Schizosaccharomyces pombe: one gene and its partners. The gene in region 1 interacts genetically with each later gene. Each region holds a gene or a part of one and is shown in the gene's direction. Other genes may lie near its edges.

Region 1 (7,963 bases):
GGACAACTATTGACGGATTTTCGGTTGTTATGCCATCTGCGAACGCCTATAAAAAGCGCAGTCTCCCTATAAAAGCAACTGCCAATCCAGCACTTAATGGAGCTGGAACATGGAAGACAATCCATACTAGTGCAACAACCACTGCCGCTTGAAGGTAAAAAGTCTACATGCGCATTGTTAATAGCTGGTCTATATCATTGCACATATATTTGTTATCTTTGTATTTAATTTATCTCACCTTTCTTTCCGTTTGATGCTCATTCATATGATTTATTTCGTTAAATCAATTACAATATTTAGTCGTTTATTTTTAAGAACTAGCATACTTTATATTTAATGCATTATAGACAATTGAATAAAAATTTTGAAACAAGCAGGTAGAAATAATAAAGCCAACGATCTATTTAAGAAAAGTAAATTTTACATCGATGATTATTTACATAAGTAAAAATGTGTTTAGTTAGGTGAAGCAAAAGAAGTGCCGAAGAAACCATTTTTATAAATTATCCCTAAATACTAATACCATATCATCTAACCGAGAAGCTTGTAAAAGCAGTTTTTCCTCGTAACTATACAACTTTTTTAGCTCAGCTTGCTCAAACTTTTGTAGATATTGTTCCTCGTTGCCTTTAATATCTATTCGTTCTGCCTTCTCAATGAGTTGAGCTCTCTGAGCTCGTGCATCTCGTAATCGCATATATAGTCTGGCAATTACATGATAAAGTTCATCCAAAAGGAGAGAGTACGCCCGATCAGGACGGTGAAACCAAAGAAAAAAAGTCTTGGAAGGGGCCCTGTCGGAACTACGCGGAACCTCTTGTAACTCTAAGGCTCCGATTTCTGCCATAGCTTGAAGAACGGTTCGTAAATCTCTTTGACGAAGGAGAGCAATATTCGCCAACTGCTTTTCCTCAATTTTTCCCTTATCTTTTATGATACGCAGTAAACGAATAGCTCTTTCCCCAAATTTTTGTTCTATAAAATTTTCATATTCTATGGCTCGCAGCATGTCGGTTAAATGGGTAAAATTGACCGCCCATTCACCCATTCCTCGATTGCCTATTTTTGAAATAAATTTTAATGAGCAATCTGCCAAAAGCTCCAGGTGTTGAGCCAGCACCTTGCTCTTGCGATTTGCGTTTTCATCAACACTTTCTTCATAATTATCTTCCTCAGCAAGTTCATCTAGTTCATTCAACTTTTCCATGACACGCAATTCGTTAGAGGCAGAATTTACGCTATACTGTTTATCGACAATCGAACTCTCAACGTCGATATCATTCGGAAAGTTTCTCGTAAGCTCCATTGTCGTGAGTGTAAAGACCGGAGATTGATTGGAAATACTAAATAATCTGGGTTCCAACATAGAAAGAACGTGAGAATAGACAAGCGAAGTTGATTTACCAATTCTTCTTTCCACCCAATGGGTAAGCCTGGCATTTTTTGAGAGGACAGAAAGTTTTCCTGAATTTATGCGAACATGCGCGGATAGATCAGGTACAAGGATGCTATTATCATCGTCTAATATATTATTCAAATCCGTTGATACAGACGGAGCAGAGCCAACAGCACGTTTCCTTCTTTTTGTTGGATGTGGTATTGATTCCTTTGGCTTCCTGGTAAGTCCTTGTAGTTCTGACATATCTGCTGCACGAAGCTCTAACATTTCCAAGGCGACAGAATCATCAACCTCTCTATTTTTTTTTATTTCAGACACGTTTTCTGACTTTCTGCGATCTAAGTGCTTGATCCGGAGTTGCATTTCCTGATCTCCTACTGGTATTAAATGTCTCGGTTGCACTACTAGCAAAAACTTTTGGTAAATCAATTCCGTTAGATTTTTCTGCATCATACGGCTTTCTTCATCACTCCCATCAACCTTTTTATCGAAAGCATTGAATACTTCGAGTACACGTGCACGTCCTTGGGTACTAAGATATTTTACCACAGAGGCAGCCTCCTGGTTTAATTTTTGAGATATCAAATATACATCTTTACCTTTGCGAAGAATGTTATAAATTTCCTTCCATTGGGTCTCATAATATGTGACTTCACGTACATTTTCAATGACCGTAACGTACAAAACCATATGATGCTGCATTAAACTGACAAGTGCTTGTCGAATTTTTGGTCCTGGCAACGAAGTCCGTTTTTGTAGCATGGGAATCGTTAAACGACCATGCCTCAAAAGTGCACTAGCTACTGCCTAAATTGACAATAAATTGGTTAATACAAAAGACTTTGCAACCTCAACTTCAGATTTAGAAATACAATTGAATCCTTACCGAGCAACAATCACCGAAAAATTCCTCTACGAGAATCTCACACAGTTCTACAGCATACTGTGACATGATCAAGCAGATTACCAATCTTGCTTGGAATGGTAAATTGTTTGGCAGACGTAACTACAAAAAAGCAAAGATTTCACAACCTAGAGTATGCCAATAGCCTGTATTTTGTGCGTCGTTAAAGCAGCGTTAACATTTATAGTGTATCACTCTAATACAGAATAAAACTTTAACGATGTGCAAAAACGATTTTCATATTACTTTTTGAAAAAATACATACATATAATTACTGCGAGTATTAAATGAATGATCGAAATCTAATTGTATGATTAATTTATTTAACTTCTTTTTAATTTTCCTGTGAGAGGCTCCACTAGGTTTCTCAATTCCATTTCCATGTCGTTGATTTTTTGTGGTTTAATCAAGCATGACTTATCTGCAGATTCTGTTTTATAGCTTGTCATGGTAAGCATTAATTAAAATACTAAAAGACAATAGCTAATTGCATATTTTTCCTCCATTTAGAATATTGCTGTGCGGCTGTTTGAACATTTATAGCAGACATTTCAAAACTTTTTAACAGAACTGCTCTAATGGAACATCAAATACAACTTCAGAGTAATTAAAAAAAGCTCTGAAATGATTAAAGTTAAATTATTCCTATAGTCTCACATATAAGTTACTTTAGTATTAATTTCTAATTGTTAGCAGATGATTAAAAGCATGGATTGCATATTTTCAATCGTACTTGCATATGAAAATAAATTGTAGACAAACATTTGCAATTTCTCAATAGTGCTTTCGTGGTAGATTTTTTATTTAAATGTTTGTTTACATTAAATAGCGTAACTAGCTAACGAAAGTATCGCTATTGCCATACTAGTCCCAATCTCATATACAAACTCTTCCTCTAGCTATTATGGCAGGGAATAGGCTAGTTCCTAGATATGCCCATACAGATGGACTGACGCGTCTAGCGTATACTCGTGATGGGAAATTTCTTCTTACGGTCGGTTCTAATCAAGTAATCCGAAAATTTCAGGTTGGTTCTGATGAGGAACCCGACTCCATTGATAATCATCAAGATCCTATAACAGGAATTGCAGTTGCTGTAAGTGGTCCTCAAAAAAGTTTGGAGCTAATGACTTTTATATAGGAAAATTATTTTTGTACTTGTTCAGAAGATGCAACTGTCTGCGTATATCCCATCGATTCTCCTACCGAGCATACATTGCTGGCGCGTACTACTCTTCCTATTCGCGATGTGGCATATTCAGTAGATGGAAATTGGATTGCCATAGCTAGTGAGTAAGTTTTTTTTAGTGTATAATGCTCTACTTGGTCGTTTTCAGCCTAACAAATATAGTGAAACAGCAGTGAAAGTGGTTTCGTCCACTGATTCTTCACAAATTTTCTCTCTTCGTCCAGCTAAGGCTTCGAATAAACATGTAACTTATAGCCCGAACGGAAATTTTTTAGCAGTTTCCAGTTGCAATGGAATTTTGTATTTTTATGACACCCAAACTCGTGAACTCATCAAGTTCTTAACAAACACTATTGCCTCTTTAGAGGCAGAATCAGAAATTTGCTCAAAGGCGGCTTGGCATCCTAAAAACGGGACATTTGCAGTTGCGAGTACCGACCATTTTGTATCAGTTATTTCCCCTGATGACTGGCTTCCATTGTACAAACTTCTTCCAAAAGAGAATCATTCTGGTGTAACAGATATCTCCTGGTCCAGTAATGGAATGTACATAGCTGCTTCATTTAAAAAAGGAGGCATTTTAATTTGGGATACACAAAGTCATGAAGTAGTCGTTGAGCTCCCCTATAGTACAGTGGTGGCACTCGCCTGGCAGCCATTTGAAAACGTGTTATCATTTACTACAAATCAGGGAATTTTGTATTCATGTCCGGATGTCATTCCTAAATCAATATTGAAGGAAGAAAATGATCCTACGAAGCCTTTGACTTCGTCAAAAAGTAAAAACCGTACTTCCAAAGAGCTTGATGATCTTTTTGGTTCTGACGATGAGCAAAGTCAGAACGTCAATGATTTGGATGGGAACTCTGCCAACGAGGAAAATGAGTTTATCAATCATGATGGATTGGATTCATCTTTGGACCTAGATGGTGATAGTTATATGGTTGATGAAAACGACTTAAACCTTGCAAAGAAAAGAAAGCAGAAGGCGTTGATCGACAGAACTACAACAATAGAGAATGGTTCTAGTAAAAGACGTTTACTGCAAGCCTCAATACATAAACCCGTTCATACTGGAAGTACACCATGGCAGGGTAATAGAAGATATCTATGTTTGAACTTGGTAGGGTTTATCTGGACTGTACAGCAAGATGCAGAACACAACACTATAACGGTTGAATTTCATGATGAAACTACTCATAGAAAATATCACTTTGTTGATGACCAAAAATTTGAAATGGCATGCTTAGATCATGAAGGTGCTTTGTATGCTTCGCCTGCAACGGAAAGTTCACCTGGTGTTATTTATTATAAAGCACATGTTGATTGGTCGCGTAAATCTGAATGGGCAATGGCTTTACCCATGGAGAATGAAAGTCCTGTGACAATTTCATTAAGCTCAAGCGTTGTACTGGTATGTACGAGTGCTGGATATGTTCGCGTATTCTCAAGACAAGGCTTTCCAATTAGCATTCACAGGAGTAAACACTTGCCATTTGTAGCTTGTTCATCTTTTCAGGATACGATTATAACCATCGCCAACGATGGTTTGAGCTCTGATGGAAATTCTCGTCTTGTTTATTCCATTGAAGACATTTCTCGTGATGAAATGTTGCAAACTGGTGATGGGGTTGCATTACCACCCCAAGGAACGTTAGAGAGTGTTTTCTTTTCGGATGTTGGAGATCCTTACATCTACGATTCAACTGGGGTATTGTTGGTATTAATGCATTGGCGCATACCAGGACAAGCCAAGTGGATCCCTGTTTTAGATACAAATGAATTGGAGCGTCGCAAATCACGGCAAGAGTCTTATTGGCCTGTAACTGTTGCCGATAATCAGTTTCACTGTATATTGCTAAAAGGAGCCTCTCGATATCCCTATTTCCCTCGTCCGATGTTTACAGAATTTGACTTTCGTATTCCTTGTAATACGAACAATCCGGATGCTTCTACATCTGTTCCTGTTTTAGAAGAACTACAACTCCGTAATAAACTATTTTTGACTTTATTGGAAGATAGCATAGGAGATGGCGATGTTACGGAGGACGAAAAAATAAGCATTGCTAGACTAGAAGCTAACATTGACAAAGCCTTGTTGCAACTTATTCAAAAGGCTTGTCTCGAGGAAAGAATCGAACGTGTCTATGAATTGACAAAAACTTTGAGAAGGACAACAAGTATTGCTGCTGCTCAAAAGATTGCGCTCCACCATTCCCTTACAAATGTTGCTGAAAAAATTGGTAATCTACTATCTAACGTCTAAACCCTCACGTCTTAATTTTTATGTAACATTATTTTTTGCATATTAGTAGCTTGAGCTAATCAAAAGGGGTTTGAAGCAAAGCTATGCAGAAGTTTTGTCACGATCTTGCTCCTTTCTAAATTCATTTATATAAGCATCTAGCACTTTGATTTTTTTCTCATTTTTGTATTTAATAAACACATTTCATTTTGTTTACCATATAACCTCTATGTTTATATGTCAGTATATTCGGCATATATTTCGAGTCTATTTAGAAATTGCACAGGGGTACAAAAAATTGATTCATAAGAAAAGGTGGAAACATTTTTTAAAATGACAAAGAGTCACAAAGGAATTTGTATTCTTTTCCTTTCTGAAATGAAATAAAATCTAATGTAGAAACTGCAAAGCTCAGTGCCTTAGGGTGCGTTACAGTTCGTAAAGTTGCAGACACTAAGTGCAGTACAACTTTGTAAAGTGCCAAGCTGCAAACGAAAACACAATTTTAGCATGGAACAAAAAGTGAGTGCGGATGTGTTATTGAATAAATATCAAACATCCATAAGCATCACAAAAAACTTAATCAATTCGTGGTTGGGAAACGAAAATACATCTGTCAGTAGCGATGAAAAAAATGACGATCCACCGTTACAAGCTAGGCCGCCACGGTTAGGGTTGGGTGCTAGTAGAAAAGACCAGTCAGAAAACAGCTGGGTTACTTCCAAAAATGAGAAATTGAAAAGCCTGCCACCGGCATTAAAGAAGAAGATTGAAAGACAGTTGCAGAAGAAGAAGGAAGCTGAAAAAATTGAAGGCGGCAAAAACCACGACAATTTAAAGCGAAAATTGAATAAAGTAGGCGATGAATTGAACGAGCAACAGTCTGATACTGATGATGATGATGATGATTCAAAGGCTCGCATTACTAGCCGATCGAAAAGAGCTAACGCCCAAAGTTCTGGCTTTGATATTTATAAAAAACTTGGGAAGAAAAAAAGGTGAACTTGAAAGAAAAGACATACATAAAATATTTGCATAAAAGGTTTGACTTCTGATTCATTTTGATCAAGAGATTAGCCTCAAGGAAATGGACATCCTATGAACCCATAAATAAGCAGCACTGGAGTATTTATGGCATTGCTATTGGTTGACGTGCATGAAGTTGAATCGAAATTTATTTTTCTGTGAAAAAATTTACGATCCTTAATCACATTTAGTGTTTACATTGGATGGGTCTTAATTTGGGTGCCGTGTTTACCTCTTTTCAATCAGGAGGGTTTTTTTTTTGTTTAGTCGGTATGTTAAGTAAATAAATTTTAGATAGGGACAGTTGGTAATATGAAAAGGCACACCTATTTTTTATGAATCAAGCTCAAGCGATTCAATTTTGTAGTGAAAGACTGACTGCACTATTATAATTTAATAGTGGCATCTAACCAAGGAATGTGAATGCTTTCCTTACCCGCTAGCCACCGAATCCATGAAAGTCGAACCAACCTGTAGCCGGCTTCTTTTAATTCCGTAGGGAATGCTTTTGTGTCGAAAATATTTCGATTGAATGAAAAAAAGGTTGAATCACTCCACAGAGTGCGTGTATTAATCAACAATCCCAGTATAATCATGCAATATGGACTGAAGCCTGTTAGTCAAAATCTCGTATGGAATGGACGGCTTGTTTATCAAACTGGTTGTTGAACTTACCATGGATATTTCCGAGCAATCATGGACAGCATAAAGATCGGATAGAAGAAGTATGGAGCAGCATTAGCTACTAAAAGCATTGGAATAAAATATCGTAAACATAGCATTTTGTACCAAGTTTGGTAAAGCAACAAGTTTTTGAAGGATGTAATTTTACACTATTAACGCCATTTGGTCACGTAACAATCCATTAAGACGATATGCCGTTTTGTGAAACCGAAGCGATAACTCGGAATTCAAAGATTTCGTAAGCGCTAAATATCGTTAATTAGATAAAAGTTGTAGATCCAGCGATCCTTTGGTATTGCAATGTTCAGTATTGTTTACAACTTCAGAAGCATATAAAAACTCTTTCGACTTAGATTACAATTAAGATTTCAAAACTTTTATAAATTACTGCAAGTTGATTGACGCACTGGTTGGGTTGACATTGATTGAGTGAATTGACAAGCTTCACCATCGATATCCGTCACACATACTTGGGTCATATAAAGTGTTTATTGCATATAGTATTTAAAAATTTCA
Region 2 (7,878 bases), on another chromosome or scaffold:
AAAATGAAGTAAATGACACATCAGCTAATAGTGTCATTCTAAGGACCGATGCGCTTTCAAATGTTGCTACCACGAGGTTGAAAAGAAAATTAACTAGCGCTATTATTGACTGCTCGATTCCTCGTCGGAGGTTGCGCCACTATAGTAATCCAGAAATAGCTGAATTTAAGAATTTTAGATTATCTACGGATATTTCCCACAGTAATGTTAGGAATTCGAAAAAGCTATGTTCCAATGGATCTATGAATTGTATGAGGCAAGGCAAGGCAGTTTTTCCTCGAAAGATCCCATATCAAGAGCATGACTGGGAACAATGGGAAAAAATTGCTCAATCCTCGATGTTTAAGAATCGTTCAATTGCTTCACGTCAATCATTGGAAACTTCTGATGTTACTTTGGACATTAATATGTCTTCAAGACATTCAAACGGAACTTCCTCAATGCTTTTCAAAGACTTTACAAAACATAATAATTGGGAGGCGTCAACTTATCCGTCTGCACCTAAGAATACTCGTACTTATCCAACAGCTGAAGTTGAAAAAACTCGGCATGATTCCTCGCAATCAGCACGTCAATTGAAAGCAAGAAGTACGGCTACGACGATTTCTATTTCCTTGTCGACGGTGTCAGACGTATTCACCTTACCTCGCAATAATCTCAAAAGCAAAACAAATACGAAAAAATGCAGAGATAATTTGAATCTATCAGGTTTATCTTCTTCAACTTGTAATGCAAATTCTGTGAACAAATTGATGAAACATGTCATGATGGGAAACGAAATGATGAAGTACCCGAGAAGTGAGAGTTTCAAAATGTTTAAAAAGAGTCATTGGCGCTATTTTTGGATTAACCCGCATTGTGAAATGCTGTGCTGGTCTAAAACAAATCCATTTATTGAAAAAGGAAGGAAAAATCAAGTCAAGTCTGTGAAAATTAAGGGAATGACTATTATAAAAGCCCCAGATGCCTTAAAGAACGCCAATTTACATAATGAAGTTATTGTGATGCAGACAACTGATAAGCCCATCGTCTTAAAAGCGAAAAGCAAGAAAATTCACAATATCTGGGTTCAAGCTATCAAACAAATAAATCATAAGGCTATCTTTGATACTAAGCCCGGCATTTAAGCATGTTTCAGTCATTGCTTATAAGTTTTAAAGTAAACTGTTTCAATATTCCCTAACAACTTTTAAAGTTATACCAATTGTTTTTATTAAGCGGCATCAAATAGAAAGATATTAAACCACTGTAAACAACTAAGAATCAAATGTCTTAATCAGTTTTGTAAATGAGGTTTATACGATCAAGCTTTATTGCAATTCGACATGCACTAATGAGGATGATATACTTTCCTATTTTGTCGAAAAAATTGCTCTTTCTATACAATTCATTTTTAATCAATCAATTTATCATACGAGACATTTAAATAGCAAACAAAAGACGACTAACGTTTAAAGGTAACATCGATAATGTTAGTTTTATCAAAACAAATTATCCCGTATAAGCAAAAGAAGATTCAGACTTAACCTTGACGGAGTTTTATGTGCAAAGAATTAAACATTGCTATTACTGGTAAACATAACAAATCTGGGCGACTTTCAATTACTGAATGAATAATAAGCAACCTGTTAAATGATTTTAGTGCCCAGATGCACTTTCCGTGTATTACCCCAAGAACTTTTAGCGAAAGTTAAAAAGAGCACAATATATCTGGCTAGTTATTTTACTGCATCGTTACATCATGTTAAAACTATTAGAGCTTACCATACAAAAACTGAAAACGTCACATAATTAACTCGGTACTACTAATTAGGTAAACCGTGCTTTTGCTCATTCCCTGTGGTGTGTCTCTTCGATTCAATTTTGTAGATTGTTTTCATTTTCCTTATTCCTTTCTTTTTTTAAGAGGGGTTTGACAGATACACAGCATTTCCAATTCTAAAAATTACTCATTTTAACAATTGCCATTGCTTTTATTCAAAGGATCAGCTAATTAAGTTCCTTTTTCAATAAGGGAGAAGGATATATTGGATTCTTGATTCCCAACGGTTAAAGAAATCATCGTCAGCATTTTTATTTTGTAAGAAATGACTGTTTTTGTTGTTTTTGGAGGGCATGGAAAGGTGGCCTTGCTTTTTACTAAAATTGCTACAGAAGCTGGCCATATAGTTTACAATGTTGTACGTGATTATGTTCAGAATGAAGACATTGAAAAAGTGCATGGCAGAACTTCTGTCTGTTCACTTGAGAAGGCGACGCCTAATGATATTGCTCAGTTTTTAGCTGAAATACACCCTGATGTTGTTATATTTGCAGCCGGTGCAGGAGGTAAAGGCGGCCCTGAACGAACAAGAGCCGTCGATTATGAAGGTGCTATAAAAGTTTATGATGCTATGAGGATAGCTGGTATTCGACGCTTAATTATGATATCTGCGATAGATAATCGTGATATGAGCCAACCTCCTCCTCCTTACTATACGGCTGCTGATATAGAGCTAAGTGAGAAAATACATCAGTCAATTGGAACTTATTACCATTACAAGTACCTAGCGGATCAGGAATTAGTGCGACGCTCTAGTGATATTGATTGGACGATTTTACGTCCTTCTGGTATGACAGACGAGAAGGGTTCTGGAAAAGTTGCATTGGGTAAGATATCCATAAATTGTATGATGTCTCGTGAAAACGTCGCGCGTACTGTACTACTGTTCGCTCTTGATAATCAGTCCATCCATTTGGTGGTTGACATGACGGATGGAAATGTGCCAATATATAAAGCCATTGCTGGATTCGTCGTAAAAGGAGAATCATCCTATACTTATTCAGTATAATGTAATGACATTTTCGGATCCTTCGCGTATTATTGTAGTCCACGCATCTTTTACTCCTTTCTTAAAATCTTCTGAAAAAAGAACGAAAATTTTTCAATGACCTATGAAGCGTACGCAAATTAATAAATATTTAAGTGAGGGATACTTTAGTTATACCCTTTATAGTTGAAATAAATGGAAGATCATATCAGGTAGTGTAAACATTGTGTTATCGTTTATTAACTTTGGCATAAGCAGCTTAGTTATAACATACGGCTAGTAAATCTAATTTCTGACCTAGAGATTACTACACTCTTTGAAAACAAAATATATTAGTTTAAAATGTTAAAAGTAAATGCATTTTATTGAAGTTAACCAAAACGTGAACAAGCAACTTTAAATAAAATAATAGCCGTACATCAAGCACAAACAATTCGAACTGGTGCTAACATCTAATAAAGAAAATACAGAAATATTAAGCATAATCTAGTTCAATTGTCATTTGTTGCCTCATTATGGAATTCCAAACTCGCCGAATTTATACAATGGCGTTCGTCAGTAGGATTAGAATAACCTTCTCCTTTAAAAATATGGCCTAAATGACCACCACAGTTGGCACAAACTGCTTCTACACGATGCATTCCATAAGAGTTGTCTTCAATGCGTTTCACCTTTCCAGGTAAATTATCGAAAAACGCAGGCCATCCACAATGGCTTTCAAACTTTGTGCTAGCTTTATAAAGAAGCTCTTTACATGCAGCGCAAACAAAAACGCCCTGTTTAGGGAACTGATGAGTGAATCGTCCTGCACCTGGGTGCTCAGTACCCTTTTGTCTCATAATTCGATACTTCTCAGGACCTAGCTCCTTTTTCCATTCATCTTCGCTTTTTTCCAATGGAAATCCCATCTTTGTATTATTTTTGACGTTTTGGACAGGGTAGGAGACGTTATATGCACGTTTCAAAAGATTCGTAAACTTCGTATTTCCACAGATTGAAAAGTGTGTAGTAATCACTTTTTTCATGAAAACACAAGACGATATGTACCACAACTGGCACTACAAAAATTTTCAAGTAAGTAAACGACTTTTTGACCACTATTTATGTGAATAGGTAGGTACCAAGTAAAAACTGCTTAGTAAGTATAAAACACAGAAGAATCCGCGATCTAGTGAACCAATGCCCTGCGTATGACGCTCCACTGACGCTATAGTCAATGAGAACTAGGATGTGCGATTATAACTTATCTTTTCAATATTTTCTTATTATTTATTTAAGAAATAATTGAATTAAAACTCATTTCTTCTTTTATTAGCCGTAAAATAGCTTATTTTCTCTCCTACTACCTTTCAACAATAACTTTTTTTTTTGTTTATTGACCATTATAATCACATCAAAAGTCAAAAAATTCAATCATTATCAGAAACATCCAGCCTAATATTACTTAAAAGTTAGTTTCCTCTGAAAATTCAGTATCACAAAAGCTCGTTAATTAGCATCGCTCGATACTTAGTGCACCATGCATCTTCCTTTACCTCGTGAGTGGAAATCGATTTGATAATCGATTGCCACTTTTCGCATAATTCTATTGAGATATTTTATTACTTACAATCGTCTTTTATAAATGCTCAAGACTTTGAACGCGCGTGTTGCGTTTTAAAAAGGCCTTTTTTTGAATTGAATCAATGGTTTGATATAGTATGAGCCAACACGCAAAAAGGAAAGCTGGGTCACTCGATCTTTCACCCAGAGGCTTAGATGACAGACAGGCTTTCGGACAGCTTTTGAAAGAAGTATTAGCATTAGACAAAGAACATGAGTTAGGTAGAAGTAATTCTTTACCATCTATGACCTCCGAGCTTGTTGAAGTTTTAATTGAAGTTGGTCTTCTAGCTTTTAAACATGATGATTCAAAATCTGAATTTATCTCTCCTAAGATGCTAAAAGAAGCCCATCTCTCTCTACAAGCGTTAATGCTAATCTTAAAAAGGTCTCCGACAGTTTTGCGGGAGATTAAATCATCTGTTACTCTTTTGGATTGGATTTTACCCAGGACTATATCATTGTTTGCTGATATTCGTTTTATTAAGTTATTTGACTCATTAAAAGAGTTTCATAAGCTAATTTATCAGCTAATCAGTGAAAAGTCATTCCTATGGGACTTATATGCTTCGTTTATGCGTTATTGGAAATATTATATTACAAACGTTTCTTCTATAGTTCTCCAAATCACTAATGCTACATTCCCTTACAAGATGCCCTCACCCAATTCTCAACCATTGCAGAGTATCACCCCAAATTATCCAACCCATCGAGAGGACAAATTTGATTTACTTATCATTAATATAGAGGAGGCTTGTACATTTTTCTTTGAAAGTGCCCATTTTTTTGCACAATGCTCATATTTAAAGAAATCCAATTTTCCTAGTCCACCTCTCTTTACAGCGTGGACTTGGATCAAGCCATGTTTTTTTAATTTTGTTATTTTATTAAAACGAATCAGCATCGGAGACTCACAGCTCTTTCTACATTTGCATTCACGTATAGTCCAAACTTTATGCTGTTTTTCCTTGAATTTTATATATCATGGCCTTCCCATTTGTGAAAAATCTAAACATATTTTAATGTCCTCCATCAACTTAACATTGGGATCATTGAAGAAAACTTATACAGTTGCTAATACTGCTATATCTCTTTTTTTTCTCTCTTTATTTGTTTTACCCAAAACTGTAGCTGGTCTATTCTATCCTTTTGGGGTTTCCTTACTTTCTGACTTCAAGGTATTAGAGCAACTTGAACCAGATTCTGATCTCAAAAAGGCAATAATATTATTTAAGTGCAGATACCAAAGTTCAGAAATAGATCAAACAACTCTCCGTGCTTTTGGCGAAATTTGTACTGGTAAACTTGAAAACACGTTGTTTTCTAACTCTGAATTAAACCTTTTTCTTTTACATTATCTTTCCTTGGACAATGACTTGTCAAATATTCTTAAAGTGGATTTCCAGAATGGTCATAACATATGTACATTTGCAAAATGGTGTATAAACAACAACTTAGATGAACCGTCTAATTTAAAGCACTTTCGTGAAATGTTAGATTATTATAGCTCTCATAATGTTACAATAAGTGAGGACGACCTGAAGAACTTCTCTTTAGTTTTGTGTACTCATGTTGCAAAGGTGAATGAGAAAACAAATAGTATTTTCCGCACATATGAAGTACATGGTTGTGAAGTTTGTAACTCATTTTGTTTACTATTTGATGAGCGGTCGCTCTTTAAAATTCCTTATCACGAATTGTTTTGTGCATTGCTAAAAAATCCCGACATAATTTCCTCTTCTGTTAAACAATCATTGTTGCTTGATGGCTTTTTTCGGTGGAGCCAGCATTGCTCAAACTTTAATAAAGAATCAATGTTAAGTTTAAGAGAATTTATTATGAAAGCATTAGCCAGTACTTCAAGATGTTTACGTGTTGTTGCTGCAAAAGTTTTGCCCATTTTCATTAAGGGACCTAATAATCTTGATATAGTTGAATTTCACAAGGAAAGTAAAGCCTTGATTTTTAATACGTTGAAAATATTGGCGGTGGAAAATACAGCTATTTTAGAAACGGTCATTCTTTCCTGGATCTCCTTATCTAGAGTGGTAGAAGAAGAAGAATTACATTTTGTACTATTGGAAGTTATATCTTCTGTGATAAACAGCGGAATATTTTATCAAGGCATTGGTCTCAGCGCTCTGCAACAAATTGCCTCGACGCGTCATATATCCGTTTGGCAATTACTTTCTCCATATTGGCCAACAGTGTCCGTTGCGATTGTCCAAGGTATGGGTAAAAAACCGAACATAGCCAGTTTATTTGCTCAGCTTATGAATATTTCCGAGGGCGATTTTCTTATTCGAACACAGGCGTACACTTTACCATTCCTTGTACTTACTAAAAACAAAGCGTTAATAGTACGTATAGCTGAACTTTCACAAAGTGATGTTGCTACTTTGTGCCTTACCAATATGCATAAAATCCTTGCTTCGCTACTTACTACGGATCATCCTAATTTGGAAGAGAGTGTGATGCTTCTTCTTTCACTGGCCACTTCTGATTTTGAAAAAGTTGATTTAACGTCTTTGTTACGCTCTGATCCTATTTCTATTACTGTGGAGTTGTTACAGCTTTATCAGAATGATGTTCCTCATGAAAAAATTGAAAATGCTTTAAGAAAGGTAGCAATGATTGTCTCTCAAGTGGTTAATGACGAAGACTTGAGCAATAAGGAATTACTTTATGATTTTTTTAATAATCACATTTTGGGTATCTTAGCAGAATTTTCTAATATCCTTAACGACCTGAAAGGAAAGACTTCAATTAATGAAAAGATTAAGACAATTGTCGGCATTGAAAAAATGTTATCTTTATGTGGAGGTGCAGTCAAACTTGGATTACCACAGATACTTTCTAATTTACAAAGTGCTTTTCAAAATGAGCACTTAAGGTTTTATGCAATCAAAGCTTGGTTCAGTTTGATATTAGCAACCAAGGAGCCCGAGTATAGTTCAATTGCTGGTTTAAGTCTTGTAATTTTACCTCCTTTATTCCCTTATTTAGAACCACAAGAAGCAGAGCTAGTAATTCAAATATTTGATTTTATTTCTTCTGACACACACAAGTGCCTACAAGGATTAAAGTGGGCTATCCCCACCAGTCTGGATTCAGCGTGCTTTAGCCTTAAGGCTAAAGAAATATTCTGTTCGCTTCAAAATGAAGATTTTTACTCTGAGCTTCAAAGTATAATTAAGTGTTTAACTAACGAAAATGAGCCAGTTTGTTATTTAGGTTTACAAAAATTAGAACTTTTTTTTCAAGCCAAGGTGGACGAGTTACATGACACACTAAATTTGGACATATCCAACGAAGTTCTGGACCAATTACTAAGATGCCTTTTAGATTGTTGTGTAAAATATGCTTCAACAAATATGCAAATATCATATCTTGCTGCAAAAAATCTTGGTGAATTGGGTGCGATAGATCCCAGCCGCGCCAAGGCTCAACATATTATTAAAGAAAC
Region 3 (7,400 bases), on another chromosome or scaffold:
CTTATCACGAGCTCGGCTAGATGTGTTTCCATTATCCAATTGTCCAAAAGCAACCGAATTATCACGAAAAACAGAAGGTCGATGGGAACTCCTTGAATGGAAACGAGTTCCAAGTCGACGTCTTGCATGCTTGGGAGCAAAAACTTCTCGTAGAACTTCCTCTCGCAGTTTTCTGTTAATTAATGTGGTTCCCCATGGAGTTTTGGGCGGTATATCAGCCACGAAAGTAGGAGATACTGGCCGTTCTCCGGCTGAAGATGATTTATGGTGTAAAGATTTGGGGCTTCCATAAGAATGAGATCTTTTGTCGGGAAGCATCCATTCAGGAAAAATATGACGGTTTTGCTCAACACTAACCTCTGGAATGTATCCATAGTCTTTTTTCTGATAACAGCTGTTAAATGTGTGTTTATGGGGGGCAGGTGTTTTAGACGATGATTCTGTATTGACATATTCCGTAGTAGAATCGTTTTCTTCTGTTTTAGTAATAGTATGAGTCACATTTAAAACACCAATATACTTTGGGATAAAGGGAAGCAATTCTGGATGGCAAGCTTCAATAGTTTCATAAAACGTATTTTCATTTCTTGTAAGTGGTTTGCAAACGGCTCTTTTAGAAAACCGGAAGAAAGCCGTATGTCCACCGACTTGATGTTTGAAGGGTTCCAATCGTACAGTAACCGGATAATCAACATTCCAATGGAAAAAAGGATGGTCTTCAGGAGGAGATGATGAGACAGATGATACAGATGATCGCGGGGTGGATGCAGGACTTTGATAAGAACGGGATACCGACCTTTCAAGCTCAAACGAAGCATCAGGTAGTAAAGGGAGGTGTTGAGATGACTTTTTAGAAGGATTATGTGGTATGTAGGTGGCTGTGGTTTTAGAACTACCACTATCTTTTCTTCGTTTAGGAGCTGAGCTCCGACCACGAGATGATCTTCGACTTAGTGATGTATCTTTTTCGGAAATAACTTCATCTAAATCATGCTGAGCACCAACACTTGGTGATCCAGATTTGGAGAGCCTTTCAGAAACAGATTCAAGAGGACTCGACACGTTGTGCAAAGCAGTATTAGTACTGTTACCGGTTTCTAAGTTATTGGAGGTAGAAGACTCAAAGAGACGTAATGACCTGCTTGCCTTTCGAGACGGATGAGCAGAATGAGCACTTGCCATATCATCAGCTTCAGAAACGGCTGAAGACTGCAGCACCGGTACTGGTGATTCAGCAACTGAATAAGAGGAACCACCTAATTGCAAGTCAGCTAGACTCTTGTGAATTGAATCACTCATATATTCAACAGGGGTGTGTGTTCTCAAAGGGGTTTGTTCTTGTGAATTACTTCTTGTTAAAATTAAGCGAGGGACATCTTCCAAGCTCGTAGTTCGAGGGTCTACAGCAGATGAATAGTTACTTAGCCTTCTAGGCGATAAACTGTCTAATGACTTAGGACCTATGGATTCAGAATGCATAGTAAAATTATTGTTATCTTCTGATTCATCGTACAAGCATTTTAACGTTTCAGGACCTCGATCATGAAAATTCACGTCTCTGCCTTTACGTGAATTCGGCAGGTAACACTTTGGTGCGTTCTGCATAAATTCATAAGTTTATCTCTATTAAATTAATATTTTTCCTTAATTCCCCTTCAATTCCTCCAATTTGTCCGATTTTTATTAGTTTACCTTTCGCAGAGACCCGCTTTGGTTCTTGGCAAGTTTCTTACTTTGCTCTAGCTTACAGTATAATGAGGCGTATAGTGAAACTACTTAAATTCATTATTGTCAGCAATACTACACTACGCTATGATACACTACGTTGCGTATCACTATATGTCATATGTTGGAATACTAGCTAAGATCCGTTTATTGATAATCACGGGTAACTATCCGTCTATATACGTAGATACCCGTTGATAACAACTATTTAGAAATATTATAAATAGCGTTACAACTGAACTGAGGAACGAGGTTCAGTTATGAGCTATATTAGTGATAGGTAACATTATAACCCAGTTAATACAATACCTATACTCAGTTGCTACTTATACAACCTGCGTATTGTAATATAATAGATCACAAGGAAAACTCACCGCAGTTCTACGTATCCTTAAATCAGATACCAAACTGCGTAGCTTACAATTATTCTACTCTAAAGATCCACATAATAATACACCGTATCTGTCATTAAATTACGCATTGTGTCAGCTATGCAATCATTAAAACACTTAATGATACTTTAGAACTGCGGTGGGTTTTCCTAATATAAAAAATAATGTTAAATAAAATTCTGTTTTCTATACAATAATAAATATATCAAAATATTAAGAGATATCGTATAGTATTATATGTGCACTAAAATAGTTTACAATCAGCTGAGGAGTACAAATCAAACTTCATCAATATTTTTCTAATTAAAGAATAAGTACTTTAGAAGCAACGTATGTTCACGGCCGAAAGAAATGTTGGTAAAACACAATTATAGGTATAGTGATTGTTAACGTATCGTAAGTATAACGCACTAGACGTTAATTATATATTTGTGCAGTACAATGGATACCCTTCTCTTAAATTTCAGAAGCAGAGATCAGAAATTTAACACCAATGTTTACCTCAAAAATATGCCGTCTATAGTAATAGGCAATATTACTTCGAAGAGTATTGTTTTTGGGGAAAAGGAAAAAGCTAGCGATGCCGCCCGTACGTGCTGAAAAAAAGCGGAAAACTGATTTGATTGAACAAGTTTGCGTTACAAATAAAGCAGGGGAATTAGTAGATTTAGAGGACGTTCTAGAATATGGCCCTTATTCATTAACAGGAATTTTATCTTCTGAAAAGGATGAGCAAGAACCATTGTTTGATGAGAGCATTGTTCTGGGATACTCGATAAAAATATCGCCTGTTTGGACATACAATCTAAAAGACGTTCCTGAGAAAGAAACTATGAGCATATGGATCGTTACACCTCAAAGAAGATACGGAATTTTGTCTCCTTCTTCTGAGTATAAAGCCATTTACGAACAGATCAGCGAGAAGAATCGATTGTTTTACCTTATTAAGACAAAATTCAAAGATGATATGATATCTGGTACGTTAGAAGATTACGATAATTATATCGAAGTTTTAAAGGAAAAGCTAGAGCTTCCTTCTTGTTTTCAAGCAATTCTCTTAGTGCAAAAACATATTCGCTTTCTGTTAACCCAAATGGTTGCGACTTCTTCATTACATGTATGGTCTGAATCACCTTTTTTTATAAGAATTCGATCTTCATACGAACATCTGATTTTACAAATTAATAAAAACATTTACAATGCTCGTCAAGAGCGAAAGAAATCAAAGTTATCGTCAAACAATCCATCGGACAATAATACTACTATGAAAAGCTCTTTAAACCAAGCTCTTACTTTAATTAATTTACCCGAGCAACCGTTTAGCATTTCCTCTCCCACAGCAACACCACAACTAGGAGTTGTAAAAAGAACTTCTCCATTACGGTTTCCTTTGAATGATATTTGGCTTTCCGGTTTAAGGATTGTTGATCCAAATATTGAATCGATATCATTATGGAAAAGAATACAAGTTTCAACCTCTCCGAAGCATCAACGTTATATTAGCCTTCAAGAAGTTTGCAGCGTTATTGCTCAACAGCTACAAATAACAAATTTGGAAGCTTTGAATAAACTTTCTTCCCACGGCGAAACCCTTTTGCAAATTATGCATACTGCTTTCACGTGGAGAGGTACTAAGCTTTTTAATGATATTAAGCACGCAATTGGTTTTAGATCTTCTGTTCAACAAGCACGATCTCAATTCCGTGGATATTGTTATGATTATTTATTCATGCATTGTAACAATGGAGAAAAAACAAGTCTACATCTCTTGAGGACTCTAATATGCATGAAACTAGATTTCTCAAATGCTCAATTGGCGGCCAAGATATTATTTCATTTCTTGTTATTTGATATTGGATCAGGCCTTTCTGGCTCAGATTATACATATGAACAATACATTAATCACTCAGCTGTCGCTTTCAGTTTTACGGAGGAAATTTTTGAAAAAAATTTTGTTACAGTTCTTCCTGACTTTGTTAAACTTTTTTCTATTTCTTTTGGTTATTGGCCTGCATTCAGCTTCTATGATGAATTATTGAAATTACTTCGCAACAAATATCCCAAAGTATATTCATCAACTCCAAATTTATGCGATCAGGTATGGCTGGATCGAACAAATTTATTCCCTTGTAATAGGTCAACGAGGTCGACTTTACCGTATAGACCTACAAAACTGCTCGATTTAGCTTCCGCATCTTCCTGCTTATCCAAAAAGGAAACAGATTTTAAACAAGACACTGGATTATATTCATATAACTTGGAGAAAGTTGAGGCTTTAAAAGTTAGTCCGGATTTACAGACTGGTATTTGGTCATGTCCAGTACAAAATTGTTTGTATTTTGCTGTTTGTGACAACCCGTATAAACCTTCTCAGGTCATTTACGATCATCTTTTAGGACATGTAGATTCCAAGTTTATATTTAAAACTCCTTCGAACAGTGTCCGATCGTTTACAAATAAACTTGAACACATAATGTACAACATAAATTAATGATAGATATGATGATTTTTACTAGTAATTAACAAAAGACACACTGCATTAAAGTTAATATATAGTATGTTTATAAAGGATTACAATTTTACATGGCTAATGTCAAATACACTTTACTTTACAAATATCATGTGTTCATAAACAATTTCAAAAACACATTTTGTAACAACAATTTGATACGCTTATAAATGTGCCTATTAAAGTGTACAAATAGCTGAATTATTTGTCAAATGTAATATAGGACGATCAAACAAAATCAAACACCAACCCTTTACAATTGTAAAGTTAATGGCCGTTCAAAATACCAGAACCCATTTTTGATAATAACTGAGACCAAGCGATAAAATAAAAACAGAGGAATGTAAACGCCAAGAACTACTAAATGTTCATGCGTAAGGAAAACGAGCAAAAAACGAGTATTTATTTTAGAAAAGAGCAATACTATTAAAAAATTGTTCCAGAAAATACGGACCATACGCGACGATTACCCATCTTTTTGGTTTTGTAAACGTAAATAGAATCATCTAATCATGAATCAGTAGGAGCAAACATGAGTATGATGAGGCTCACTTCTTTGACATAAAAAAATTAATGTGATAGGATAATATCCTAAATTCGATCCCACTCATAGATAGAAGAAAGTGTAATTTCAACTCTAATACAAGAATGGAGCCAAAGTAAACAAAGGAATGTACAAATAGGCAAGATCCTGTGAAAGAAAAGTACCTGTAAAATAAGGATTTTATGATATAAAAGGACAAGGTTGACAAATTAAATCAAATCATAAAAAAATTAAAAAATAAAACAACATTTTCATTTTTTTTTAAGAAACACGCAGTATTTTGGCTTAATAAATCTTTTTCTTTTCATCAACGGAAAACTTGCCCGGTCCAGTGTTGACGAGATATAGGAGACCACCAACAATAGACAAGGTTTGGAAAAAGTCGTAACGATAAAAGTCACGATAGGGACTTTCACGAGGAACCGACCAGAAGCTGTTGATAATGAAATTGGCAACAGATAGAATAAGAACGAGGACTGCAGCGAAGAATTTAGCCTTAAAACCAATGACCACCATGGCACAGGCTGTAACAGACAAAATATGAACTAGAATTCGAGTCCAAGAAATCCCACTTCCTTCCTTAGCCAAAAGACCCAAAAACATAAAGATCAAAAGAACACGCCCAGCTAGTTGGAAATAAGTACGTTTATTGTGTTCGGAGACGGCCGGTAAACCTGCAAATCTATTGATACGACGATGAATAAAGGTGTCACTGGCAACAAGGCATAATCCACCGATCACGCTCATGTTACGAAAGAACATTTCACCACTGGTGATGAGCCCATATGCAAACGCTTGTAAAAGTGTAACAAACAAAAGAGAGCCGATGGCATATGCCTGACGCTTTTTAAACACGACCAATGTCGAACCAACCAACATCAGTACAACACAAACAAACAGCAGCAACGGAGCAGTCCCAAAACGAAATCTGCGGTAGTCCCGCATATAAGATACTTGTTCAGGCCATTGAGTAACGATCCGAATAGCGTCTTCGAAATAAGTAGCGACAATTAGGAATCGACCCAAGAGCGGCATATACGGAGTAAATGGTGCCATGAACGTTTCAGCTTGCTCCATAAACTGACATGCTCGCTCTGAAAATGTCTTTTTTCTGATACCCACAGTAGTCCTTGTTTGATATGAATCCTGGTTCATAGAAAGCGGGATTGTCGAAAACGGCGAACGTGAAGTCATCTTTTCAGCTCGTATTAATTCGGGGTTTTTTTGGTGTCTATAAATATTTAATCCTTAAACTTCAAATATCTCTTAGAAATAACTTGATAAGGCCAACTTCCAGTTTCCTCAATTCAACCTCTTGTATGGAGAAGCGCAAGTTTGTCTCTTCCTTTGTTGCTCCTTATGGCCTGTTGGCATGCAGTCGTCATCCAGGGCAAACCAGAATTTCCTAAAAGGACAGCATTACAATTTGATGAATTTGGGATAATTTAAATAATTCTATGATCCTTATTTTTTTTATTTTTATTGAGATTCCTGAATATTCTTCAACCTCTACACTGATTTTTTATTTTAAGGCTCGCTATTAAGCGCAAATTGGTTTAGTGTAGTCTAAGAAATTATTACCTCTTGCAGTGAGTTAAAGAATGGGATATTTAGGAGAGCCAAAGACTTATGAAAGCTGCTTTGTAATGATTTTTAAAGCTTGAAAATATAGGTTTAAATTTTAGAAACTATATTTGGATGGCGTTCGGATGTAGTTTGAAAATTAACATGAGTCGTTAATTGATCACATTTATTGATGAAAAGCAAAAATAAATTAATAAAAGGCCCCATTTCCATATCACAAATGAATACTTTCAAGTTAGTGTCATAATTAAATGAATTTAGTGGAAGTTAAGTTTTATGTGTGTGATATTTACACTTGACATTACAAAAGCTATTACTTTCTTAGCAAGAGTCGTTGTAATGAACATTTGTAAAAACTTTATACAAACAAAATTTTAAAGAAGGGTATCGTATATAGGTCAAATACGTGAGTTAAGTTCAAATCTCAATATAGTCATTTGACGGCGAAAACAAACTTATTATCCGTGGAAATTTTGGTAAATCCTTTATAGCAACATCAATGTGAATATTAGCTTATTATTAAATTTATTTTATTTTTATTTTTTTCTTATTTTTTTTGGCGGGATATTGTATTATTAAATAATCATAACAATTATAAGTGCACTTTTATTTTTATTTTAAGGCATTTAGAAAAGCCGACTGAACC
Region 4 (7,753 bases), on another chromosome or scaffold:
GTTTACTCCATTCCATTTAGAATGTGGGGAGCTAATTAAGGATCTTTAAAGATAAATTTGTACGATTTAATCAAAGAAATGTTGTATTTTAAGATTTTGTATGTAATTAACAAAATTTGTCGCAAAACAGTCTTTTTGCTCAGTTATATTATTATTACTCAATTAAAGAATGTAACCTGCTGTTATTGGTATCTAAATCGCTTCCTTATTAAAGTTGTTTATTTATAAAGTAAATTTAAAAAAATCATGGTTCATATTCCTGTTAAAATAGGATTGCATTTTCGTAGACTCGTATTTACTTCAAAACAATCTGGTAATTTATTTCTTCAACAGTTTCAATTCTAAAACAATTGATAAGTTTACTGTATATTTTACTTCATATTAAAAGATATCATTGCATTCTTTTAGCGGTGATTTCAATCAAGCCATTATAGCGTAAATTACCCATCAAGGAACTTTAATATGTAAGCAACAGAACTAATTACTCCAAAAATTCAGATCATATATAATTACTTTAAATCTAGTTAAATGTAAGTGAAGTACCAAATCATAAGGAAAGGAGTCACTTTGTAATCAATGTATGCAAAATCATAAATCGTAGTTTTCGCGATTTAAGCCAAAAACTCAATTACTCGACCAGCGAGACGTAAAACACAATGTTTTATTGAGCAGACTCAATGAAATTTATCAATCTTTTAGACTCTTCCTTCCAGTCCATTTGATTAATTGACATCACTGTATAGCGTACTCGCATTTCACCTTTAAAATTGTCTTGCTTAGCACGACATTGAAAGATATATGGCATATAGCAAGCTTCTGCCATACAATTCATAAAGGCATTTTCGTCGTTTTCTTGTAGATCATTCAATTCGTCTGCCGTTTTATGCATGATTAATTTACCGACGTCGTCAAAGACGTTGAGCCAGAGTTGTCCCGTATGATCACCTACAGCAATAGTTATAATATAACGGTATTGAGGAGCATCATATTCTTTATTACATTTCTCACATCGCCAGGAGCCACCTTGATCAAAAACCTTTTTGTTGCAATCAGCAGCAGGGCAAGCAGGATATGACACGTTTTTCTTTCGAATGTAAACAATGGTGCCCTTTAAGCTAAAATAATCGGGTGTTTCTGACATTCCCAGATGTTCGGCTTGAACCTCAGCAATATTTTTACGTTCAGCACTCCTTCCAGTAGTAGATAAAGTAGATGAAATTACGCTATGTTTGGCAAATTCCTGCCCTCTACCCTGTCCATCATACCAACCTTTTAACAAATGAGATTCCTGGATATCTGGATCTACCGACATGGTGCTGCTAGTTAACATTGACAAAGAGCGTCCTTGAAAGTCATTAACTTTAACTCCTTTGAAAGCGAGAATACTTTCTTCAGAAACAGAGAATTCAATAGCTGTCTTTCCCCAAAGCGTAACACGCATTTCATATCCTGTTTGGTCAACGATAGTGATATCACGCTTGTCAAATCCACGAGAAGTTGCACGACTGGTAATTTGTTGAACTGGTCCAACGTTTTGGAGTACACCAATTACATCGATAACAGCATCTTTGGCAACATCGCCGACTTCTTGTAGAGAAACAAAACTAAACTTCGCAACGGGGACGGCAGTTTGATCCTCAGCTTTCCTTATTTCAGTATCACGTTCAAACATCAGCTCATACTCGTTTTGAACATTGGTATATTGTTTTTTTGCAATGTTCACACGACAACGAGATATATAATAAACCGAACCTTCCTGTAAGATATCATAAAAAGCATCAACCTGGTCATTAAAGCCTGTTGCACGAATCTCCCCACTTTCATCGAGTAAATTTACGCTAAAAAGCTTTCCTTCACCTCGTTGATTATGCCAATGTTTAACCTCAGATTTGTTAGTAACACGGGCACGAATAGTCCATTTATTCTGATATGGAGAGAGACCTTCAATTGGGTAGATTATTGTGCTAAGGCTATTCGGCGCTGCTGGCTTCTTCATCATGGGAGGTGGAGCCGGTGCTGTAGCTGCAGCATTGTTTCCATAAAATGAGTTAGTGCTTGTCGAAATACCTGTTCGTGGTGCGCTAGCATTGTTTTGCTCATTTTGCTGCTGCCGTAAAGCGTCAACTGTTTCTAAACCAGCGGGATTACCAATTTTATCCATTACGCCAAGTTCAGTTAAAACATTCAAACCAAGAACAATCAAAATTTTTCTTTCTTTCATAACGTTTACAGTGAATTGGGTAAGCTGTACGAACGCTCCTTTTTGAAGTTTATTTTCGGCAACCAAATGGTTCAGCTGGGTGCTTAACATAGATTGCGCATAATTGATTGAATCGGAAAGGACAACACGATATCTTTTAGGAGCACCAGAAGTTGGATTTGAGTTTAGCTCCTTCACGGTTAAGACTTGGAGAATTGGATTAGGAGGAAAAGACGAAGCATCGGATGTACTAAAGAAACGTGTTAACATCCCAATTTGTCGAAATCTTTTGAGTATATAATTTGGACAGTTAACTTACTTGATTATACGAAGTGCACCCACGGATAATCGCTCAGCCATGTTTGCAAATTCTTTTTTTTTTAATTAGTGGTTGGTTTAAGGCAAAAGAACGAAGCCGCGTCGCGTTATCCCAAATGAAAAACGCGAACGCGTCATGACGCGTCGTAACACATTTTAATATTACGCGTAACTTTAAGATGTGTTGTTTGTGTACGTGCATGTCAACAATGGTTGTTTACTTTCAAAGTTATCCTTTGCGCACAACACATTGCTATAGAAAAGCCCTTAAAAGCTGAAAAGAATAGTAGTGTTATTTAATTCTCTACAAAAGGAAATAAATCCTTTGTGATTTTCCTTTTGTTGGAAGAGTTGAACTACATTATCATCTGCATATTATTTATTATTTAGGAAAACCGGAGATATCAAAGTGAAAACGGGATTTTAACAGCTAATAAGCAAAAAAATATAACTTTATTTACATTCAGGTTTCAGTTAAAGATGGATTCATCAACCACCATCCCAATTACTCCAACGCGAACACCATGTTTTTTTAATATATCCTCTTCGTTTAATGAGCATTCTCCATTAAATTTCTACGATGAACCCATTTACAATTTTTCGTCTGGCCATGAAGAAAATCAGAGCCATAAGTCATCAAAACTGACATTCTTTAAACCTTCCAATACAAAAAGAAGTCCACATACCCCTATGCAAAATAATGCAAAAGCCATCAGATTATCCACTACAGTTCGCCACGGAATTTTTAAGAATTCAGATCTCGATGGGTGTAGCAAACCATTTGCATTTTCGAGCGGCTTGAAGTTATCCAAAAAAATTGTGGATGCTTCAACGCCAATTGATTTAAAACGAAAAAGGGCGGTGACTTCTTTAAGCACAGGACTGTTATCAAAACGTGAAAAGTGGTCATTATGGGAAGGGAATTTGACTAATCCAAGAAGTGAACAACCTCATACACCTTGTAAAAAGGGAACGAAAATAAAATTAAAACCACCTCAATCTCCGCTGTCACCCACTACCTCTCTTTTAGCTCGCAAATGTAAACATATCGACCTAGATACTTTTAGTCGGTTGGATCATCCAAACTCTGACAGCTCGGATGAAACGTTTGAAATGGAAGAACTTCCTTCTTTGTCTTATGGTTCAGAGGACTTGTTGGAATTTTGCGAAACGCCTTGCAAGAGTCAGCCTATTTTCCTTTCAAGTTCCCACGTTAATAACTGGGATGAGAAAGACGTACCTTCTTCATTAAGTTGGACACCTACCAGTCCAATTTTTTTAAACATCAACAGCGCAGATGATTACGAAGAAGAGGAAGATTGGACTAGTGATCTTCGAATTCGATTCCAACAAGTTAAGCCGATACACGAGAGTGATTTTTCATTTGTATATCATGTGTCTTCGATCAACCCACCTACTGAAACGGTTTACGTTGTAAAAATGTTAAAAAAAAATGCAGCCAAGTTTACAGGAAAAGAGCGTCACTTACAGGAAGTATCTATTTTGCAACGCTTGCAAGCATGTCCATTTGTAGTAAATCTAGTGAACGTTTGGAGCTACAATGATAATATATTTTTGCAATTAGATTATTGTGAAAACGGAGACCTAAGTTTATTTTTAAGCGAATTGGGATTATTGCAGGTCATGGATCCTTTTCGCGTGTGGAAAATGTTGTTTCAACTAACTCAAGTAAGTTATTACATATTTAAAAGTCGCGTTCCACAGACACGTCATTTGAATTCACTAACCGAACATAGGCATTAAATTTCATTCATCTTTTAGAATTTGTTCATTTAGACGTTAAGCCTTCCAACGTTCTTATAACTCGTGATGGTAACTTAAAGTTGGGAGACTTCGGACTAGCAACTAGTTTACCGGTCTCCTCGATGGTTGATCTCGAAGGCGACAGAGTCTATATAGCTCCCGAAATATTAGCTTCGCATAATTATGGGAAACCAGCCGATGTATATTCACTAGGCCTCAGTATGATTGAAGCCGCAACAAATGTAGTCCTGCCAGAAAATGGTGTTGAATGGCAACGACTAAGGTCTGGAGATTACTCAAATTTGCCAAATCTTAAAGACCTCCTTTTGTCGAAAGAAAAGGTTCAAATAAACAAGGTGAGGTGTGCTGAATCATTACAGTGTTTGCTTCAGCGTATGACGCATCCGTACGTGGATTGTCGACCCACAACACAAGACTTGTTAGCAATGCCGGAAATGATATTCATCTCTGAGCATTCTCAAAAAGCTGCAATTATCTACGAAGACCATAACAGTTGGTTAGAAACTTGAGGGATTCTGTGTGCGAATATTTTAGCCCCACAATGAGGGAATGAATTTTGCGTTCTTCCATGGTTCATTAATTTGTATTTTATACCAATATTTTTATATTTTTAAATTTTAATGTTTCTTTTGTTCGTCTGTTCGAGTGACCTTGTGTTTACCCCAATTCAATTGGTGCAAAAAATTACCCCGGGTCGATCTTTTTTTAATACCCCCTGGCAATCCATCTTTTTGGTCATTTTTAAAAGAACATCTTTTGACGGCTAAACGTCAATCGTCTAAGTCTTTTGATCAACTGCTGGGTATTTTACGTTTAAAAATCCACCTAATGTCGCATTTTGTGTTTTAGTGAAAAAACTTGAGCGTTTTTTTTATGCAGGGAATTGCTGATATTGTGATGGATAATTATTTTAAGCTTCCTAGTCTTTCGCAGAAGTGCTGTTTTAAGGAACTCAAAATATGGAAGTGCCTTGTCTTTGTATACGTATTCCGCCTGATCTATCGTTACAATTGCTGAATTATGAAGCCTTCCGGTATAGCTGTAAGATTATATAATTATGTAAAAATTTTCATATTTAGTTATTGAGTTACAAGCAATAATATCAACAAATCATTTATATTCAAAAGAACAGAGCAAAACTTGTAAATTTGGATCGACTCCTTTTTTTGTCTTTGTCGTTTCTTTTTCCATTATTCTTAACAGTGTTCACTGAATTGTGCAGGATTTAGCGTATTACGCTCCGCTTTGGTAGAATGTATCACGTACAACCCCATACTGTTTCCATCTTTTAACCACCATTCATATCTTATTTTAAATAATTCACGATGGGCGGCTCTGATTTTGAAGATGACGAGCTTTTTAAGGATCTATAGTAAGTTTTCGAAATGTATTTTTATAGTACTAATTATCGATTAATTAGTGGTGAGGAAAATGAAAAAAAAGTGGAGTCAGCTTCAGGAAATCAAGAAACGTCTAATGTGACGCCGACAAAAGAAAACGAGGGCTATGAAGAACTCGAAAAATCGGGAGAAGCGGGTGCTGAACGTACAAAAGAAAACCCTTTTCGAGAAGAACCCGGAGCTGATTTTGACCGTTCGGGATCGGACCAACAATACAGTGCTGAAGCGGAAGCCAATCAAGAAGACGATTTAAATGAAACGTCTCAGCAAGCGCCTGATCCTTCTTCGTATGATATTAGAGGACAAGCCTTGAGTTCCGCAACTTGGGACAATGCCGAGGACGGTGAAAATTCTAAAAATGATAACTATAATGAAAATCAGTCGGCCCTGACCGGTTCCGGTGCTATGGAATCAAATGAAGATAATGCAGAGGAAACTAGTCCCTTTAATCGAGAGGACGGGTATGTTAATTGTACTATATCCTGTAGCTTCTTAGGAAATTCCAGTAGTTCAATTCTAACCAGATATTTTAGTAAAATGTTTATTGGTGGTTTAAATTGGGAGACTACCGATGGTATGTTAATTTTCCGCCATCTTAAACTATCTTTGCATGCATAAATTTTGTCGATCAGAAATTTGTTAGCTGGAAGTGTAGTTTTTGATTTGTTTGTTTTGCCTATTGTACCTTAACATTATGTGTTTGGGACACCATCGACCAGAACGGTATACGCTTGAGGAAAAATGGTCTTGTTTTAGATATAAATTTTTTCAGTAAATTACGACGTCCATTTTCCGTTAAGCTTTATTCTTTCTGTTGTCAGGTGCTAAGTACATATATGCTATTTAGACTATTAGGAGTAAATTTATTGGTTTAATGCTAATGTTTGATTTACAGATTCCCTTCGTGATTATTTCGAGCAGTTCGGAGAGGTCCTCGATTGTACGGTTATGCGTGATAGTACTACTGGCCGTTCTAGGGGATTTGGCTTTCTAACTTTTAAAAATCCCAAGTGTGTTAATGAGGTGATGTCTAAAGAACATCATCTGGATGGTAAAATTGTATGTTAAAAAACTTTCGAATAGGAGATACTAATAAATAATCAGATCGATCCTAAACGTGCTATACCCCGTGAAGAACAGGAAAAAACTGCAAAGATGTTTGTTGGAGGAGTTCCTGGCGACTGTACAGAGGAAGAGTTTCGCAATTTTTTCAACCAATTTGGCCGCGTTCTTGATGCCACTTTGATGATGGATAAAGATACGGGACGGCCTCGTGGGTTTGGATTTGTAACCTACGAAAATGAGTCCGCCGTAGAAGCAACAATGTCTCAGCCGTATATTACTATACATGGCAAGCCTGTAGAGGTGAAGCGAGCTACACCAAAAGCTAGCCTTCGAGACAGTCATGACAGGCATCAGCATGGCTACCATGGTAATGCTAATCCTTACTATGCTCAAAACATGAACATGTATGGAGGAATGACGCCGGCTATGATGGCTCAGTATTATCGACAGATGCAGCAGTATATGGAAGCGATGCGTAATATGCCTGCTGCTGCTGGCGCAGTACCATATCCTCAACCCGTCATGCCCGCTGGTATGGCTGATTGGCAACAGCAACAGCAGCAGGGAGCGGCATATTTTGATCCTTCTAAAATGAATCAAGGTACTGGTGATGGTGTGCCCTTCAGTCCATCTATGCCTTCCGGCTCGTCTCGTGGCGGATACCATGGCCGTAATCCTGGTGGACCGAATCGACAAAGATATCGTGGTCGTCGGGATGGTCGTGGTGGTAACACTGGCGGTGGGCACAGCTTCCATCCATATCGTCGATAAAAATATGTTTTAAATTATGAAAATGGACAGTCCTTACTACCTTCAATCTTTCCATCTTTTGCTGATGTTCAGTTAGATTTTTGTTGATTCATCATCAATTTATTGGATGACTTTTAGTTGCATGTTGGATATCCAATTAGTTCTTTTGTGCTTTTGGAAGTTATATACCTTACTATCTAGTTACTACATAATTTCTTATTTAGATAGATACATG

The links.
Region 2: mutations in mcl1 (region 1) and rad3 are lethal when combined (synthetic lethality), as found in Schizosaccharomyces pombe (3 studies listed by BioGRID, with this or other methods).
Region 3: mutations in mcl1 (region 1) and raf2 together harm fitness more than expected from each alone (negative genetic interaction), as found in Schizosaccharomyces pombe (2 studies listed by BioGRID).
Region 4: mutations in mcl1 (region 1) and mik1 impair growth when combined (synthetic growth defect), as found in Schizosaccharomyces pombe (2 studies listed by BioGRID, with this or other methods).

What each region holds. Positions count from the first base shown.
Region 1 is NC_003424.3:3,280,990-3,288,952, reverse strand, and holds mcl1 (DNA polymerase alpha accessory factor Mcl1), read left to right. Parts: upstream 1-3,200; 5' UTR 3,201-3,207; coding exon 3,208-3,399; exon of another isoform or gene 3,400-3,444; coding exon 3,445-3,596; exon of another isoform or gene 3,597-3,654; coding exon 3,655-5,758; 3' UTR 5,759-5,949; downstream 5,950-7,963. Other genes in the region: cts2 (chitinase), read left to right, coding at 1-152; DNA-directed RNA polymerase III complex subunit Rpc82, read right to left, coding at 497-2,206, 2,286-2,351; SPOM_SPAPB1E7.01C (uncharacterized protein), read left to right, coding at 6,248-6,739; SPOM_SPAC652.01 (BC10 family protein ), read right to left, coding at 7,150-7,369, 7,439-7,545. UniProt on the Schizosaccharomyces pombe protein: Has a role in regulating DNA replication complexes. Acts as a regulator of post DNA replication initiation. Associates with chromatin during G1 and S phases of mitosis. Required for the transcriptional repression of the outer repeats of the centromeric region.
Region 2 is NC_003423.3:899,855-907,732, forward strand, and holds the start of rad3 (ATR checkpoint kinase Rad3), read left to right. Parts: upstream 1-4,329; 5' UTR 4,330-4,510; coding exon 4,511-7,878. Other genes in the region: dynein-anchoring factor Num1, read left to right, coding at 1-1,127; SPOM_SPBC216.03 (uncharacterized protein), read left to right, coding at 2,088-2,831; peptide-methionine (R)-S-oxide reductase Mxr2, read right to left, coding at 3,302-3,718. UniProt on the Schizosaccharomyces pombe protein: Serine/threonine kinase which activates checkpoint signaling upon genotoxic stresses. Involved in G2 arrest following DNA damage where it phosphorylates chk1.
Region 3 is NC_003421.2:498,162-505,561, forward strand, and holds raf2 (CLRC ubiquitin ligase complex subunit Raf2), read left to right. Parts: upstream 1-2,603; 5' UTR 2,604-2,697; coding exon 2,698-4,608; 3' UTR 4,609-4,719; downstream 4,720-7,400. Other genes in the region: kcs1 (inositol polyphosphate kinase), read right to left, coding at 1-1,605; erv29 (cargo receptor protein), read right to left, coding at 5,456-6,364. UniProt on the Schizosaccharomyces pombe protein: Component of the Clr4 methyltransferase complex (ClrC) which contributes to the establishment of heterochromatin by specifically methylating histone H3 to form H3K9me.
Region 4 is NC_003423.3:218,701-226,453, forward strand, and holds mik1 (M phase inhibitor protein kinase Mik1), read left to right. Parts: upstream 1-2,597; 5' UTR 2,598-2,998; coding exon 2,999-4,207; exon of another isoform or gene 4,208-4,275; coding exon 4,276-4,812; 3' UTR 4,813-5,417; downstream 5,418-7,753. Other genes in the region: DNA replication factor A subunit Ssb1, read right to left, coding at 662-2,450, 2,520-2,560; msi2 (cleavage factor complex subunit), read left to right, coding at 5,629-5,675, 5,724-6,164, 6,237-6,277, 6,599-6,762, 6,808-7,539. UniProt on the Schizosaccharomyces pombe protein: Protein kinase that acts both on serines and on tyrosines. It acts as a negative regulator of entry into mitosis (G2 to M transition). Phosphorylates and inhibits cdc2.